Linked DNA regions of Elephas maximus indicus. The protein of the gene in region 2 binds, or shares a complex with, the protein of the main gene of each other region. Links are inferred from orthologs where the notes say so. Each region holds a gene or a part of one and is shown on either strand. Other genes may lie near its edges.

Region 1 (7,189 bases), on a different chromosome or scaffold from region 2:
TCCTGAAAGTGAAGGAAGAATAAGAAATACATGGTTAAATTTAGTCTGGTCAAAACGTAGGTAGAGTAGAAGAAAATGGTGCAGATCTGAGCCCTCTACTTTGTAAAAAATCTACTATGTACCTCCACTCCCCCTTCGAAAAGAGTCCCCAGGAGATAGTATGCCATAGGGGGATGAACACTGAACTGCAAGTCAGGAGATCAACTTCCATACTAGTTGTCGCCCTGGTTGGGTGACCTTGACCAAGTCACTCCTCACCCAGGGCCTAACATGTCCTCCTAGAGGATCAAATAAAATTGATTCATATGGCCCCACGTAACTCTAAAAAAACATCGACTCCAGTTGATGTCAATAAATATAAACAGCCAGTGTGCTTGCTTCTACTGCTCAAAAACATTAAAACAGAAAGAATAAAGGACAGAAGATAGGAATCAGTGTTTAAACCTGACAGAGCAATTTAAAATGCCATGCAAAAAGCAGGCAAGAAACTCCATTACACACCTGTGATAGTCCCATGTCATTACAAAAGCCCTAGAGTACAGCTGTTCTGTTAACCTCAGTCCTTAAAGATGTGTCTCTCCATTCTGAATGCCAAAAAATGTTTGGCCACATTTGACTAAAGAAGCTGAATTCCCTCATCTTTCCACAGAATTTCATTGTTCAGCTGCTAAATATTTCTGCTGGGCATTGGTAGGGGGGATGGGTAGATAAAGGAGCCAAAATCCTAGTTAATTATCATTTAGTCACACTGTTTAAAGTTTCAAGTATGAGAAGCATGTTTGCTGATTCCCTTCTTTGATAAGCTGTTATATAAGTTGGAGTGTGCAAGCAAGACATTTCAAGGCTCAGGGCAACTTTTCAATGTGCAATGTAAAAAATGTGTCAGTCTTAACATTACAGTATTATAAATATGATGCCTCTATAGAGTCGTTCAAAGGCAATGGGATGGGCTATAGAGTACAACTTTGGCTAGGTGGTCAAATTAGCACAAATAATGTTTACAGAGTTATGACAATTACTTTGAATGTGGCAGTAAATATAGAAGGCCTGCCTCCCCAACCTCAAGGAACTTATTTGCACAACTTGCCCTCTTCCTCAAGAGGTACAAATTCGCTATTCTTTAACCACCTCAAAAAGATCCTTGGATGCTTTCCCTATTAAGACAAAACATAGACATTGAGACAATACTTTAATTATACTAAGTTTACTTGAATAAAGAGCTAGAGAAAGTAAAAAAAAAAAAACAAACACCAAAGTTTGCTAATCAGGGCACAAACACCATAAAGATAGAATATAAATAAACTGCTCTTGAGAGGCTGTAGTTGTGTGCCATGGAGTTGATTCCGACTCACAGCGACCCTACTCCTGAGAAATTATCCCATCAATAAATTCCTGTTCTCAAGCTAGAAATAGTGACGACACTTCACACCCACCTCCCCCATTTCACCCCCCAAAAAAAGCTAGAAATAGCATGCAAAGGGTGAGTTTTATTTCCATAGATTTTCTTAAATTGCTCTTCAAAAGTAGTTTAACAAGACCGCATGTTTCTACCAGGATTCCTCAGGGGCGCTAATCCTCACTAGAGCACTGAGGACAAACCAAAAAAAGAAAACCCATTGCCGTCGAGTTGATTCAGACTCATCGCGACCCTATAGGGCAGAATAGAACAGCAAGGAGCACCTGGTGGATTCGAACTGCCGACCTCCTAGTTAGCAGCTGTGGCACTTAACCACTACGCCACCAGGCTTTCAGTCTCAAGTTGCAGGTAAGTGTGAACAAGCCCACGACTGGTCAGCGCACAATGACCCCGCGCTGAAAATACAGTTAACTGTTGTTTCAACGGGCGTGGAGCGTTTATTACAGCTGTTTATACCTCCAACTCCAAAGGAGAGTCTACTAGTGCTGCCACCAGCCCTGGACACGAAAAAACAAGCACCGTGGGCAGAGAACCTCACCAAGACCAGGGGGCCAAGCTGCTCGCGCTTAACCCTTCAGAGGGGCAGCGCGGGCACCTCCTTTCCGCGGCCCGGGCCAGAGCGTTGCCAACTTTCCCTGAGGTAGCCCGTAGCCGGGGGCGGCAGAGGCAGGCACCGGACGGAGTTGCCAATTCAAGGGATTCATAGAGTCTGGGTGAGCTGGGCCGGGGACCTAGAACAACCTGCCCTGGGGCAACCCCTCCCCTCATTGGCCTGCCCCCTTCCTGGTCCTGCCCTCTAACTTGGCTCGAGGTGGCAGAGTCCTCCCAGGGCCCTGTGGTGGAGGGCCCCCGCCCTATCCACAAGGGAAGGGGGCCTCTGCTGCCGCCGCCCCTCCTAGGTGACTCACCTGGTGCCCGTCCTGGGAGTCGAGAGGGAGTGTGGTTTCTCCGGGTTCCAGCGGCTGCTGCTGAGGAGACGACTGCCCGAGGTGGCGGATGATGGGACCGTCAGGGTTGAGGCCACTGGGGCTGGTCAGAGTGCCAGAGGTGCCAGGGGTGCTGGGGCCGCCAAGGCGGGTCTCGGTTCCCCGTTCCCGCCGCAACTCGGAGCGCAATTCTAGGTAGCAGCACAACGTCAGCAGGTGGAGGGCCAGAGAAAAACCAAAGAAACCCAGGAAGAGCCGGCAGCTGCTGTTCCCTTCGCCGGCCCGGGCAGGGGCCCCGCGACAGCCGCAGCCCTGGCTTCCCCGCTGGCGCGGCAGTTCCCTGCGCTCTACCTCTGGGTAGCCCATGGCCTCCGGAGACACACACTCTCTGAGGCCCAGGAGCCGTCGCGTCTGCCTCAACCGTTCAGGACCCCTGACAGGCGGCTACTGTCCTGCCATCGGCTGGGGGCTCCAGGGACCCGTTCCTGTGCGTCGGTGGCTGGGCGGGACACAGCAAGGAGCAGCCGCATGTGCAGCTCCACTCCTAAGGGTGGGAAAGAGAGGAGGAGGGGCGGGAGAGAGGGGCGGCTCTGCCCGCCGAAGGAGTGAAGGAGGAGGCCCTGACCGACCCCGCCCCATCCCTCAAGGGGCTGCTGGTACGCCCAACCACCCGTCCCGCCAAGTCTGGGTGCTCCGCCCCCTGTCGTTCCACCGGCGCCTCAAACCGCGGGGCGGGGCCTGGAGGCGTGTGGGTTAGCCTCTGTCTGGCAGCCCCACCCAGCTCTTCCCGCTTTCCCGGTACGGGTAGGTTACTGCCGCTGTCGTTCATCCCTGGACTCCACCCCTATTTAACCCTTTAGCGCCAGTACGGGGGAGAAGGAAGGAGGGGAAGGCTGAGAAGAATTTGGGAACCTTGGGGGAAAAAGAGGAGAGCAAAGAAAAGAAGGCAGAAACGAGGATTAACAGAAATGCTTGCAATTAACTTTAGTTTTTAATAACATCATTCAGCACTTATCTGTTACTTTCGAACTTCAAAGCGTTTAACAGAGGTTAAACTAATTAAAACAGTTCTGGGTTTGGAATGAAACCATGTCTGCTGTGTTTGTAATCCACTGGCGTGCCAGAAGAAAAGAAGAGTCGGGAGCCTGGGAGCCAAAGGGAGTGGGAATGGGGTGTGACTCAGGCAGCCTCCCTCCTGGACTGAGTCTGGGGGCTCAATCTAAGTGAGGAAGAAGGTGACCTGTGCCAGGCAGGACTGAAGTGATGTTGCCCCCTGAAGGTCAAACCAGTCCCCTAAGATTTCTTATATGTTAATTCAGCAAACATGTATAAAATCCCTTTACTTCGTAAAAAGTGCTATATAAGAGAATTCACAACCAGAATAGTTTCTCTTCTTCAGTTGCAGCAGGAGTTTTCAGTGGAGAACACGTGACTTCAATGAGCAAATTGGGAAACTGAGAGCCAGAATGAGGTTGATTTTTACAAGGGTGGTCCACAGAATGGCCAGACAGTACTGGCATCTCTGTTTGCAGGCAACTGTTCTGGCCCCTCCACCCCTCCTCTCCTTCCCCTGGAGCAGTCCCTAGGGGAAGTTCAACAAGTCAGCCAAATGTTCCAGATGTACTCTGCTGCAACTGCAGCATCTTTAACAGCTGCACCAATCGGAAAAGGATTCAAGGCAACAACAAAAAAAGTGGGCAGATGTCAGAACAATAGATCCTGATATGAAGATTGTAAAGGATTAGTTAAATCAAAAGTCATAATTAACAACAGTTAGTTGGAGATTATAGAGAGCTAAATGACCGTGGTGGAAAAGAAAGTTTTGTTTTTTTTTTTTTAATGACCGTAGAAAGGAAATATTCATGCTTCTTGGTCACCTTGCAATCCCATTCCCATGTTATTAATTGAGAAGCAAGTAATTCTCAGTTTCAGTGATATGACAAAGCCATCACGAATGCCACCAAGGAGGCTCAACAATGCCCAGGAGTGTGGATGGGAAGACCTATAACCTAGACTGGTGGGAGGGAGAGAAAAATAGCGGTAAAATAGAAGAGAGACAAAAGGAAAACAACAAAACTAAACCAAAATCATCTGGTGGGAGGTCAGTCCAGAAAGCACAGAGACCATAGGTCTTAAATATTTCAGCCACAGCCAACTTTTCTTCCACACACTTTGTGAATGGTTTCCGTGCTTCAACAACATCTTTGTGTCCTCTCATTAACCTTAACCCATGAAATATAAAGTTTTCAAAGAATATCATCATTACACCAAAAAAAAAAAAACCCACTGCTGCAGAGTCAATTCCAACTCATAGTAACCCTATGGGACGGAGTAGAACTGCCCCATAGGATTTCCAAGGAGCAGCTAGTGGATTCAAACTACCAACCTCTTGGTTAGCAGCCATAGCTCTTAACCACTACACCACCAGGGTTTCATTATACAGACAGGAAAAAAAACAAAAAAACATTTAACAGCTGCTCTCAAGTCCTGCTTGTCCAGTCCAGGAACTCCAGCTGCTGGGGAAATTGCCAGGCTGATTTACCTTAATTATCACAGCCCAGGATTATTCAAAATAATGCTAGACTAGGAGTCAGGAGATCTGGCATAGCCACTAATTTGCAAGTCACTGTGCTTTTGGGGGCCTTAGTTTCTCCAATTGTAAAATGAGGATTTTGAACAGCTATAACATTGTCTTTTATTTGTGTTGTAACTGACTATATTGACTTGGTTGCGTACACAGTTCAAAGAGGCTGTCCCTGTTTCCCCTAAAATGAAAAGGGGACAAATGAAGCCATCTCTGGTGGTGGTGGTCATGCTCAGGGGCCATACTGGTCTCAGTTTACCATGTTCTATCAGGTTTTTAACAGCTTAACTGAGACCCTGAGTTGCACCATCCTCCTCAGAAGCCCTGGGGGTTGTATTTGACCTTGTGCCTCACTTTGCTCAACTCAACAGCCCCCAGAGGAAGAACATATGTTTTTATATGCAGTAGAATTGTTGGTCTGGGGCAATCCAGTGAGGAATGTACATGGTCATTTTTTTAAGTGTTTCCACAGTTAGTGTCTATGCTTCCATAAGTACCCCATTACCTACACCACAGGTCTTAAAATGACAGCCCGCAGGCTACATCCAGCAAATTGTTGTGTTGTGTTTGATGCAGCGTTGGCTAAAAGTTTGAATTAAAAAAAATTAGAAATCAGGACATTTCACATTAAAAAAAAAATCCAGATTTCCTGTTTCTGTTTAAAGAAACAAATAAATAAGCCCAGAGTGTCCACATTCCCTTATGGCTGCATTCAGCTAGAACTGACCCCTTGATACAAACACAGGCTATCAAATTCCACAGTCACCCGCCCCACCCCCATCTCCTTCCTCTTCTCTCTAATATTGTCCTTGTCACTCACTTATTTTGTCTGACCCCTGTAATACAGGAGACAAGATCTCAACTCCTTAGCGTGACCTACAAGGTACTCATAATCTGGTCTCAAACTGCCTCTCCAACCTCATCTTCCACCATCCTACAGGGAACACATGCTCCCACGATACTAAATTAGTTGACTGCTTTGTCACAGTTGTGCCTTTTCACAAGCTTTTTTCTTTGTCAGGAATATCACCACCTTGGAAACCTTATAAATTCTTCAAGAATCAACTCATATGTTCCCTCTGGGCTCCACAGCCCACTCCAAACAGATTGTACCTTGAGCATAGCTCAATGATATCACCTACTATATTGTATTTTTAATTTTTCACATGGCTCTCTCCCTACTAAATCCTGAGCTGTTCCTTGATGGTAAGAACGGTGTTCTTTTTATTTGGGTATCACTAGTATCTAGCAGAGCACCTATGACGTAGCAGGCACCAGTATTGTTTATCAAATGAATAGGGCATGAAGTCTGCTATGGTAACCTAGACTACCTAGAATTCCAAAAAGGGAACTGGGCTAAAGGATACCTGTCAGTATCACTTAAGAAGCACCTGTTGTATACAAACTGTATAGCACTATGCAAAAGAAATAAAACTAATGCTACCATAGTGGTTGTGAATAATCCAGAAAAGTAAGTAATCCAGAAATTCAAATATAATTGGTTTATAGTAACTCATTGGCCTTTCTGCCCCATCAAGTTTTCCTTTCTAATTTGGGCTTAATATTAAAATAAGTCAGCTAAACTGAAGACCCTGAATACCCATCAATTGAGTGGAATATGTTAGGGAGTTGGGCAGAAACTGCTTTGAAATACAGTACCTCTTAGCTCTGGTTAATCTGCAGAACAAATAATTGACATAGAGATCACAGAGTTGACTCTCTGATCCACTTAATGTTAAACAGATAGTTGGAAGGAATATAAACTTTGGATTAGATCCTGGTTTGAATCTTAGCTTATTCACTTACCAGCTGTGTGACCTAGGACAAGTGAGTTTTACCTGTCTTGCAGAGAGCCTCAGTTTTCTCATCTGGAAAATGGAGATGACAATATTATTTTTTTTTAATCTAGCTATGATTAAATGAGATGCTATAAGTGAAAGTGTCTGGCACATAATAAATGCATAGTAAATGTTAGTCCCTGCTGTCCAGGAGCCTTTCGTCAAAAGGAGATGAGAGGAAAAACATACAAATACTCAAGAACATGGCAGAAACACAGAAAAGCATCTACCTACTTTGCCCTTGCCAAAAACTGCCCCATTTTTTGCATCCTTAGAGTTTGGGATAAGGCCTATATGTTCCCACCACCTTCCCCTGAACTCTTAACCCATATATCTATCTTCCTCCTTTCAATTTCCACTTCCATCAGATAGATATACTTTGTCCTTCCCTACCCTGTAGAAGGAGCCCTGGTGACACAATGGT
Region 2 (7,787 bases):
TTACATAATGGAGGGAGGTGGGGGGTCACCACAGGAATGGGGGTGCAAAAGAGGGCTAGGGCACTGAGGGGAAGGTGCCCCTTTGCCCTTGACTCAGCTCCTGACCTGTAGCTTTTCCCGTCCACCTGGGTCTCTTTCTCCCTCCATGGAAGAGAGTTAAACGTGGTATTTTTTGTGACCAGAATCATTACCGACAGCTGAGAATTCCAAATCCAGGCAGCATTTTAATACACGGTGCTTCTGGTAGGAATCTTGGACAACCAGGTAGCTAAAACAAATTCTGGCGTTTATGTCTTTATCTAACAGCAGGGTTGGTGTGGCAAACCAATCAGTGCAGAATATCATTCTCCAATGGGGTAACATCAGTTGTAACCCCACCTGGCTTAGTCTGCCTTTGACCTGGAGTTGGCCCATTTCGTTTGATGCTGGCAGAGGACAGTTCACCCAAGTATGTCAAAGTTTCACGTATTATTTCATCACTCAGGTCTAGTTTAACCAAAAACAAACCAAACCCACTGCCATGGTCGATTCCGAGTCGTAGCAACTCTATAGGACAGAGTAGAACTGCCCCATAGAGTTTCCAAGGAGCACCTGGTGGATTTGAACTGCTGACCTCTTGGTTAGCAGCCGTAGCACTTAACCACTATGCCACCAGGCTTTCCTAGAAGACTAAAGGCCCAACCAATATAAATACTCCCAGGCTCAGTCTCTCCCCTTCCATATATTGGTGGTGATAGAGTTCTGTTCTACTTCTAAAGTAATTTTCTGTCATCTTTAAATTGTGATTTTGTTTTGTTTTGTTTTTTGGGTTTTTATACTTAGAGTAACATCCAAGCCTCTTTAGATGGCCCTCAGAACACTATGGTATCAGGTCTCCAGCCCCTCCCCAATCCTGTCTCAGACCACTCTCCAGCCCACCTCCCTACTTTCAAGCCCCATGGTTTCTTTCAGTTTCACCAACACTCCTGGCTCTTTTCTACCTCAGGGCCTTTGCATATCACTATGTTCTCCCTGAAACCCTCTTCTCCTCCTACCATGCAAGACTCACTCTTTCTTCTCAGGTCTCAGTTTAAAAGTCAATCTTTCCCTTCAGAGTAACCAGTCCTGACCCTTCTCAACCAACATAGCAGCCCCTCATGCACCATCTCAGTGGTTGTTTGTTTCCTTCATGCCACTAACTCAAGTCTGATATTTTAGGTATCTGTAAGCCAGGCCCCTCCTCATGATCCACACTCTTTTGATAGCATCAGGGACTTTAAATCATAAGTTATTATTTTCCTGTTGTTCCTGCCTATAGTATTGTGATAAGCGTGAGCTGGAGGGAGTTTGAGGTCATGCTTTAAAAACTAGCTCGCCCATGCTCTGAGGGGGCAGATCCTGTGCATTCGCCATTAGCTAGAGGTGAGATCAAATCGCACGTTTTTAGGGAAAGCACAGGAGCCGGGCCCAGACGGGCCTGAGGAGCCTGCTCTTCTCAGCCCACGAGGCTGAAGGAGCACCCACCAGCAGGGCCAGGGTTGTCCCGGAAAACAATTCCAGGTCTGCACTAGCCCCGAGACAGGTCTGCAGCTGCAAATTCCATACCAGACAGAGCTAAGATCGTTTGATCTGAAGAACTCAGTGGTTGTTAGAAAGCACCCGCCATAGGCGTAAAAACATTTCATCAAATACTCTTATGCCTTGAACAACATGATTTCCTGCAGAACTCTGAGATAAACTTCGTCTGTAGGTAACCAGAAGTTCACTTGCTGTGATGAGTTGTTAGGGTGAAGTCAGTTAAATGTCAGGGGTCAGCTGCCAGAAAGAGCATCCTCATTTTGGTGTATGTGATCTGATACCACTTTTCCTGATAGTAATCAGGTAGCAGGAAACTGTCATCAGCCGGCTGTAATAACCCCCACCTACATAACCCGTGTGTCCTACCAGAAAGTATATTTTAAGTTTACTTGATAATTTGATTATTCGCTACCTCCCCAGCTAGAGTATAAACTTTCTGAGACCAGAGGTCTTGGCTGTCCCTTTCATTATTGTATTCCAGCAACCCAAACAGTACCTGGTTCTTGTTAGTATTATTAGGTGCCGTCAAGTTGATTTCAACTCATAGCGATCCCATGTGACAGAGTAGAACTCCCCCGTAGAGTTTTCTTGGCTGTAATCTTTACAGAAGTTGATTGCCAGGTCTTTCTCCCATGGAGCCGCTGGGTGGGTTCAAACTGCCAACCTTTTGGTCAGCAGCCTAGCTCTTAGCCGTTTGTACCCTTCATAGAGGTACCCATACCCATTTACCCATTTCCTTAGAGGTACTGGGTATGAAGTTGCTGAATGAATGATGCATGAGTACATTAACATAAAAGACAGGCTAATTTGATGGATTGAGAGGTGTCATGGATTGAATTATGTCCCCCAAAAAATGTGTGTATCAACTTGGTTAGGCCATGATTCCCAGTATTCTGTGGTTGTCCTCAATTTTGGGATTGTAATTTTATGTTAAGAAGATTAGGGTGGGATTTTAACACCACCTTCGCTCAGATCACCTCCCTGATCCAATGTAAAGGGAGTTTCTCTGGGGTGGGGCTTGCATCACCTTTTATCTCTCAAGAGATAAAAGGAAAGGGAAGAAAGCAGAGAGTGAGGGACCTCATACCACCAAGAAAGCAGCACAAGGAGCAGAGCGCATCCTTTGAATCTGGGGTACCTGTGCCCGAGAAGCTCCTGACCAAAGAAAGGTTGAGGACAAGGACCTTTCTTCAGGGCCGACGAAGAGAAATAGCCTTCCCTTGGAGCTGACGTCCTGAATTTGGACTTGTAACCTACTAGACTGTGAGAGAGTAAATTTCCCTCTGTTAAAGCCATCCGCTTGTGGTATTTCTGTTACAGCAGCACTAGATGACTAAGACAAGAGGGTATCAAGGTTTTTCTTGCTGCTCACCCAACACGAAGTCAGCTGCTAAGACACAGAATATGGCTCAGTTTACTCCTTGGCAATTGTCTGATCTGCTGGGAGGTCATTCGCACCAGCCCATGCCTATTCTGTACTGAATCCCTAAAAGCCCTCGGAAAACTGTGGCTGAAAAGAGCTACAGATGGTGCCTTCCGCAGCGTGCCACGGCCCCTCTGCTCTATTCCTGGTCACGCATTTGTGCAATCTAGATGAAAGCGTAGGCCAGGGCACTGCAGAGTGAGTTACTGGGTGTGTGTGTCTACCATGTGTTCTAAATTACACCCGATTCTCCACAGCCCCCAAAGACCCCACTGGCCCGACAATGGTTTGTAGTCTTGATTCATGTTCTTATTTCAAAAATGCTATCGATAACCTTTTGCTATTTCTGCCTCAGCCTTTTACGAAATGTGCAAAACAGAAATTCACATATCTTCAAAGCTCTGGAGCCTTAAATTATGAAGATAAACAATAGTCTCACTTGCTTCATTCTTTCTCTTAATCTACTGGATTAATTTGTGTGCTCATTTTCATTCGGATATGATGACTATGAAAACCTCAAGTGTAGCCATCTGTAACCTTTCTTAATGGCATCATGTTTTAGATTTTTCAGAGAGAGAGAAAGGGGAAAATTCCTTTGGCTTATATGACACCATCCATATTCAAATCCTTTAACTGTCTTTTTCTTATCTTTTGGCAGCATCCCTGTTATCTCTGGCAAATTTAAAGTCACCATTTAATTTCCAATACAGAAAAAAAAAAAAGTTACCCTAAGATCATCTCCGTCCTCAAACATATTGATCAAAATGAAAATGTCAAAAAGTCAAAATTATATGCAATAGAAAAGATTAGCCCAGTACCCTTACTTCCTATTTGTTTCCTGGGTTCCTAATTTAATCGTTTTAATTTACCACAAACCCTCAGTTTGGGGTCAGCATGGGCAGTGTCAACAACCAAGTCTGAAAGTTCAACTTAACACTCTCACATGGGGAACCTACACTGTCCAGATTAATTGTTCACACTGGTCAAGGAAGTCAAGCAAATATGGTTCTACTCACCCTCTCTGGCGGCAGAATTAGTCTTCGAGGTCAGCATCCTCACCCTAGACCCACACAGTTTTGCCTCTTTTTCTGTCTTGAACTATTCACTTCTCATATGTGAATTATGTTGTATGTTATGTGCCAGAGCCAATGGAAAAGGGGGACATAGCAATGTGTCCTAGAGGAGCCATTCCATTCTTGTGTTTGTGGATGGAGTGGGGTCAGCTGGAAAAATGACATTCTTTTCAAGGTTGAGGGTCCCCCTCCCCAATCGTTTAGTTTTGGAGAAAAAATGGACTACTACTGAAATGCAATGCCCTTTCGAAATGTTTGTGTTTCAGACATCTTCCAGATTATCTAGAATTACATGAGGTACAGTGTTGGTGGGGTAAGGTGTCAGGGTAGAGGAGCAGAAGAGCAGTTAAAGCTTCCTGGTAACTCAAAGCCTAGATGTGCCAGGTGAAGGGGGTGCTGGGGAACCTGTGGCACACGTGTTTCAAAGTTGACTCCAGCAGCAGCACCCAAGCCTGTAGCCATCTCAGTGGTGGGTCCTTCGTGAACAAGTCTTGATTAATTATGTTTTTATGCTAATTATCTTTTTTAACACCCCATTGCCCAAAGGCTTTGGTTGTTCTAACAGAAGCAAGACTCTCTCTGTCCCGTTCCCCCGCCAGAAAAAAAAAAAATCAATGATTTTCACACATTCCAATTGGTCTCTTGAGGGGCAGGAAGTCAGGCACAGGCTGGAACGGGCTGAAGTGCCGAGGCTCTCGAATCTCCAGCGCCGGAAGAGGCCTCTAGGTGGTGCAGGTGAGTTTGCAGCGAGGGAAAGCCCCTCTGCAAGGACGAAGTCTCCTAGCTCGCAGACAGGACGCTCAGTAGTCAAGGAAAAGTTCCCGGAAAGCCCTTGGAGACAAAAAGAAGTGGGGCTGACAGCCGTGGAGGGGTGCCTGGCCCCCAGGGAGCTCTGCCAGCCTACAGGGACCTTGAGCATCTGCTGGGACGACCCACCTGGGAAACCTGGTGTCCCCCAGACTGGATCGTGGTAGGGTTTTCCTCACAGATCCATCTTCTGCTTGGGCTGGAAACTGAACCTCCACCGAGTACCAGGTAAGCCTTAGTCTTTTTCTTTTGGTTTTCTAAGCTCATGTGCTCTTTTGCATGGAGAGACAGAGGTGACATAGGCTAGGAAACAGCCTGAGTGCATTTTTGAAATGCATGTCATTTTTGGGTTGCGTTTGAACAAGCTTCACCAATTACCGTATGTCTGCGCCACCAGTTCTAAGATCCAAGATTGTGCCTTTGTTTTCAGGAAAACATCAGAAACTCAGTTTTGTTATCGGTTGCACATTTGGTTAGCAAGCTAAACTTTGGGTATGCTTAGCAGGCTTTAAGATTTTGGCTACTGTAACAACGGGTGTCTCCAGAGAGCATGGAAAATCTGTCTCTCAGGTTTGCACTGGGGTTCGGCTTGCCTGAGAAGGCAGGCAAGGGCTGGGGCTGCCTCTGGGTTCTGTACCTGCAACCAACCCACAAATAGCCACAGTGCCTTAAGAGCCCTTCTAGATGGGGTTTTGAATCAAGTCTGAGGCCCGATTTCATGGCCTCTGTGTGGCTGTGTGTGTGTGTGTGTGTGTGTGTGTGTGTGTGTGTGTGTGTGTGTATAACTTGGGTAACTATTTCTGATGATTAAGGATTTCCCTTCCATTCAAGAGGTTTCTCCCAGTGCCTCCAACAGGTCACAGAGTAGTTTGGGCTCCGTGCGAAAGAGCCGGCTGTAACTGCCCAACAGCCTGCGCGTTGCTCCAGCGTGCAGAGGTGTGAGATCTGGGAAAGGGTGAGGCTGGGCAGAAAGCACAGCAGGTGAACTGCTTACTGATAAGCCTCTATGTACCCTGGATTAACAACAAGAGGAACAGCTTAAAAAAATAAAGGGCCAGGAGTGAGGTGATAAACTCACAGAGCAGAAGACCTGGTCAGTCTGAGGATACAGACACAGTTGGTGGGACACAAGGATGTGAAATGAATGAAATGAAAAACGGAGAGAGAGGAAGAGAGCAAACACCAAGCCAGGCTCCCTCCTTCCCCAACTCTGCAGCTAGCCACTGCTCTGGGGTTCTGAAGTTGCCTTTTTAAGACTCTAAGAGTGAAACCATAGCTATTTCAAAATACTAAAGAAGTTAAAAAAAAAAAAAAAAAAGACGAAGGAGAAAAGGAATCAATTAAAATAACACTTTAAGAGAGAGAATAATTCTCGCCTGACTCAAGTGCCTGAGATTTCAAAGTCACAGGCACTCGGGGCCTTTCAATGTACATTTTGACAGAGTCCACCAAGAAGCTCACTCATCAGAGTTAGGAAATTATGGTTTGTCGTAATGACTGCCCATGTTTACCCTTCATTTCGGGAAGAGAAGATTGGGGGCATCTGAGGGTCCTGGTACAACCATTTGGGGTCTCAGATATGCCCGAAATTGGGCCTCTTTGCCCTCTCCCCATCCTTAAGTGAGCCAGGCTGCGCTGTGGGAATATTAATTTGTGACAGCACATTTGGGGGGCAATCTTGGAGGGACATGTCTTAGGGAGGAAAAAAATAAATAAAATTTCCCTGAAATGCCTGATTTTCACTCTCCAACCACTTCCTGGTTTATAAAAGTAAACAGGGTTTTCATTTTATCGAAGATAGATATTCGCAAAGCTTAGAAGTGTCAGGGACTCACCCTTCTCTTTTGAGCATCACTGTGTCCCCATATGGCAGTGTTTGCCGGAGGTGTGAAGACAGACCAGACCTCAACCCTATTTCACAGGGAGCGAAACCAAATTGACTCCTAGAGATTAACGCAACTGCCCGAGCCCTGTTGATTTTAAAAAATATCCTGTGGAGCTTCTTCTAGCCAAAACCCCTTGGTGTCTCAATGGAGACGCACAGATAGAAAGCCCGGCTCCCTGTCTCTTTTTTCAAGGCCCAGATGAGTGAGTTTTGTGGTTTCCAAAGAATGGAATTCATTCTCAAGGAAATGCACAGGATCTTAGCTTCAAAAAAGGAAAAAACGATTGACGTTGAGTTGATGCCGACTCACAGTGACCCTATAGGACAGAGTAGAACTGCAACATAGGGTTTCCAAGGAGCAGCTGGTGGATTCAAACTGCCAACCTTCCGGTTAGTGGCTTAGCTCTTAACCACTGCACCACCAGGTTCCTCAAAGACTCAAGCAGGTCTGAAGTTCAAACACAGTAGCTATAAACAGGATGGCTTTTTGGAAGCCAGCCTCGCTGTTTAAACCGTCAGGTGCCCTCTTGGTTGGCTTCCCCTCACTTTCCTCCTGGCCTGCTGAAGCTCCCTGTCTGTACACCTCTCAGCCGCCTGACTCCTGGCCTCTGTTTCCTCCAGTGTCCCAGGGGACACCTGCCTGCCCTCTCCCTTTGATGCTGTTTTAGGCTCTGCCTAAGTAATGCCGCCCACCAACAGCATCATTAATTAACTTACATTAAGCTCACTTAGCACATTACATCAATTAGGAAACAAAACACCAACCCCTGCCTTTTAAGAGTGCAGCCGCCTGCGACTTCAGCTGCCCATCAGTAAGGCAGGTTCTTGAACTTGCATATTACAGGCAAGACTTTTGTTTAATCCTTGCTTATTATTTTCCAAAAAAAATAAAATAAAATACAACCAGAAGAGATAAACTGATGTCCACTTACTTCACCTCTGCCCTGTGTTGCTTGACAAGGTGTTTCCATGTTTGTCTTCCCCAATAAGGAAATTGACGCTTAAAACCTGTTGCTGTCAAGTTGTTTCTGACTCATAGAGA

What was found. Proteins that work in one complex are often made in the same cells at the same time.
Region 1: the proteins of EDAR (region 2) and EDA are in contact, whole or in part, in a crystal structure (PDB 7X9G), measured with the Homo sapiens proteins. The link is inferred for Elephas maximus indicus from reciprocal best matches to the Homo sapiens genes EDAR and EDA. Residues at the interface, in NP_071731.1 of Homo sapiens: Glu55, Pro56, Tyr57, Leu58, Lys78, Ile86, Arg88, Arg89, His90, Asp92, Glu94, Gly95, Phe97, Val134; in NP_001390.1 of Homo sapiens: Gln256, Ser258, Ala259, Gln261, Asp265, Asp273, Arg289, Tyr310, Tyr311, Lys340, Thr341, Tyr343, Ser370.

What each region holds. Positions count from the first base shown.
Region 1 is NC_064846.1:100,697,154-100,704,342, forward strand, and holds the start of EDA (ectodysplasin-A), read right to left. Parts: upstream 3,014-7,189; 5' UTR 2,710-3,013; coding exon 2,326-2,709; intron 1-2,325. UniProt on the Homo sapiens protein: Cytokine which is involved in epithelial-mesenchymal signaling during morphogenesis of ectodermal organs. Functions as a ligand activating the DEATH-domain containing receptors EDAR and EDA2R. May also play a role in cell adhesion.
Region 2 is NC_064835.1:76,755,764-76,763,550, forward strand, and holds the start of EDAR (tumor necrosis factor receptor superfamily member EDAR), read left to right. Parts: upstream 1-4,773; 5' UTR 4,774-5,088; intron 5,089-7,787. UniProt on the Homo sapiens protein: Receptor for EDA isoform A1, but not for EDA isoform A2. Mediates the activation of NF-kappa-B and JNK. May promote caspase-independent cell death.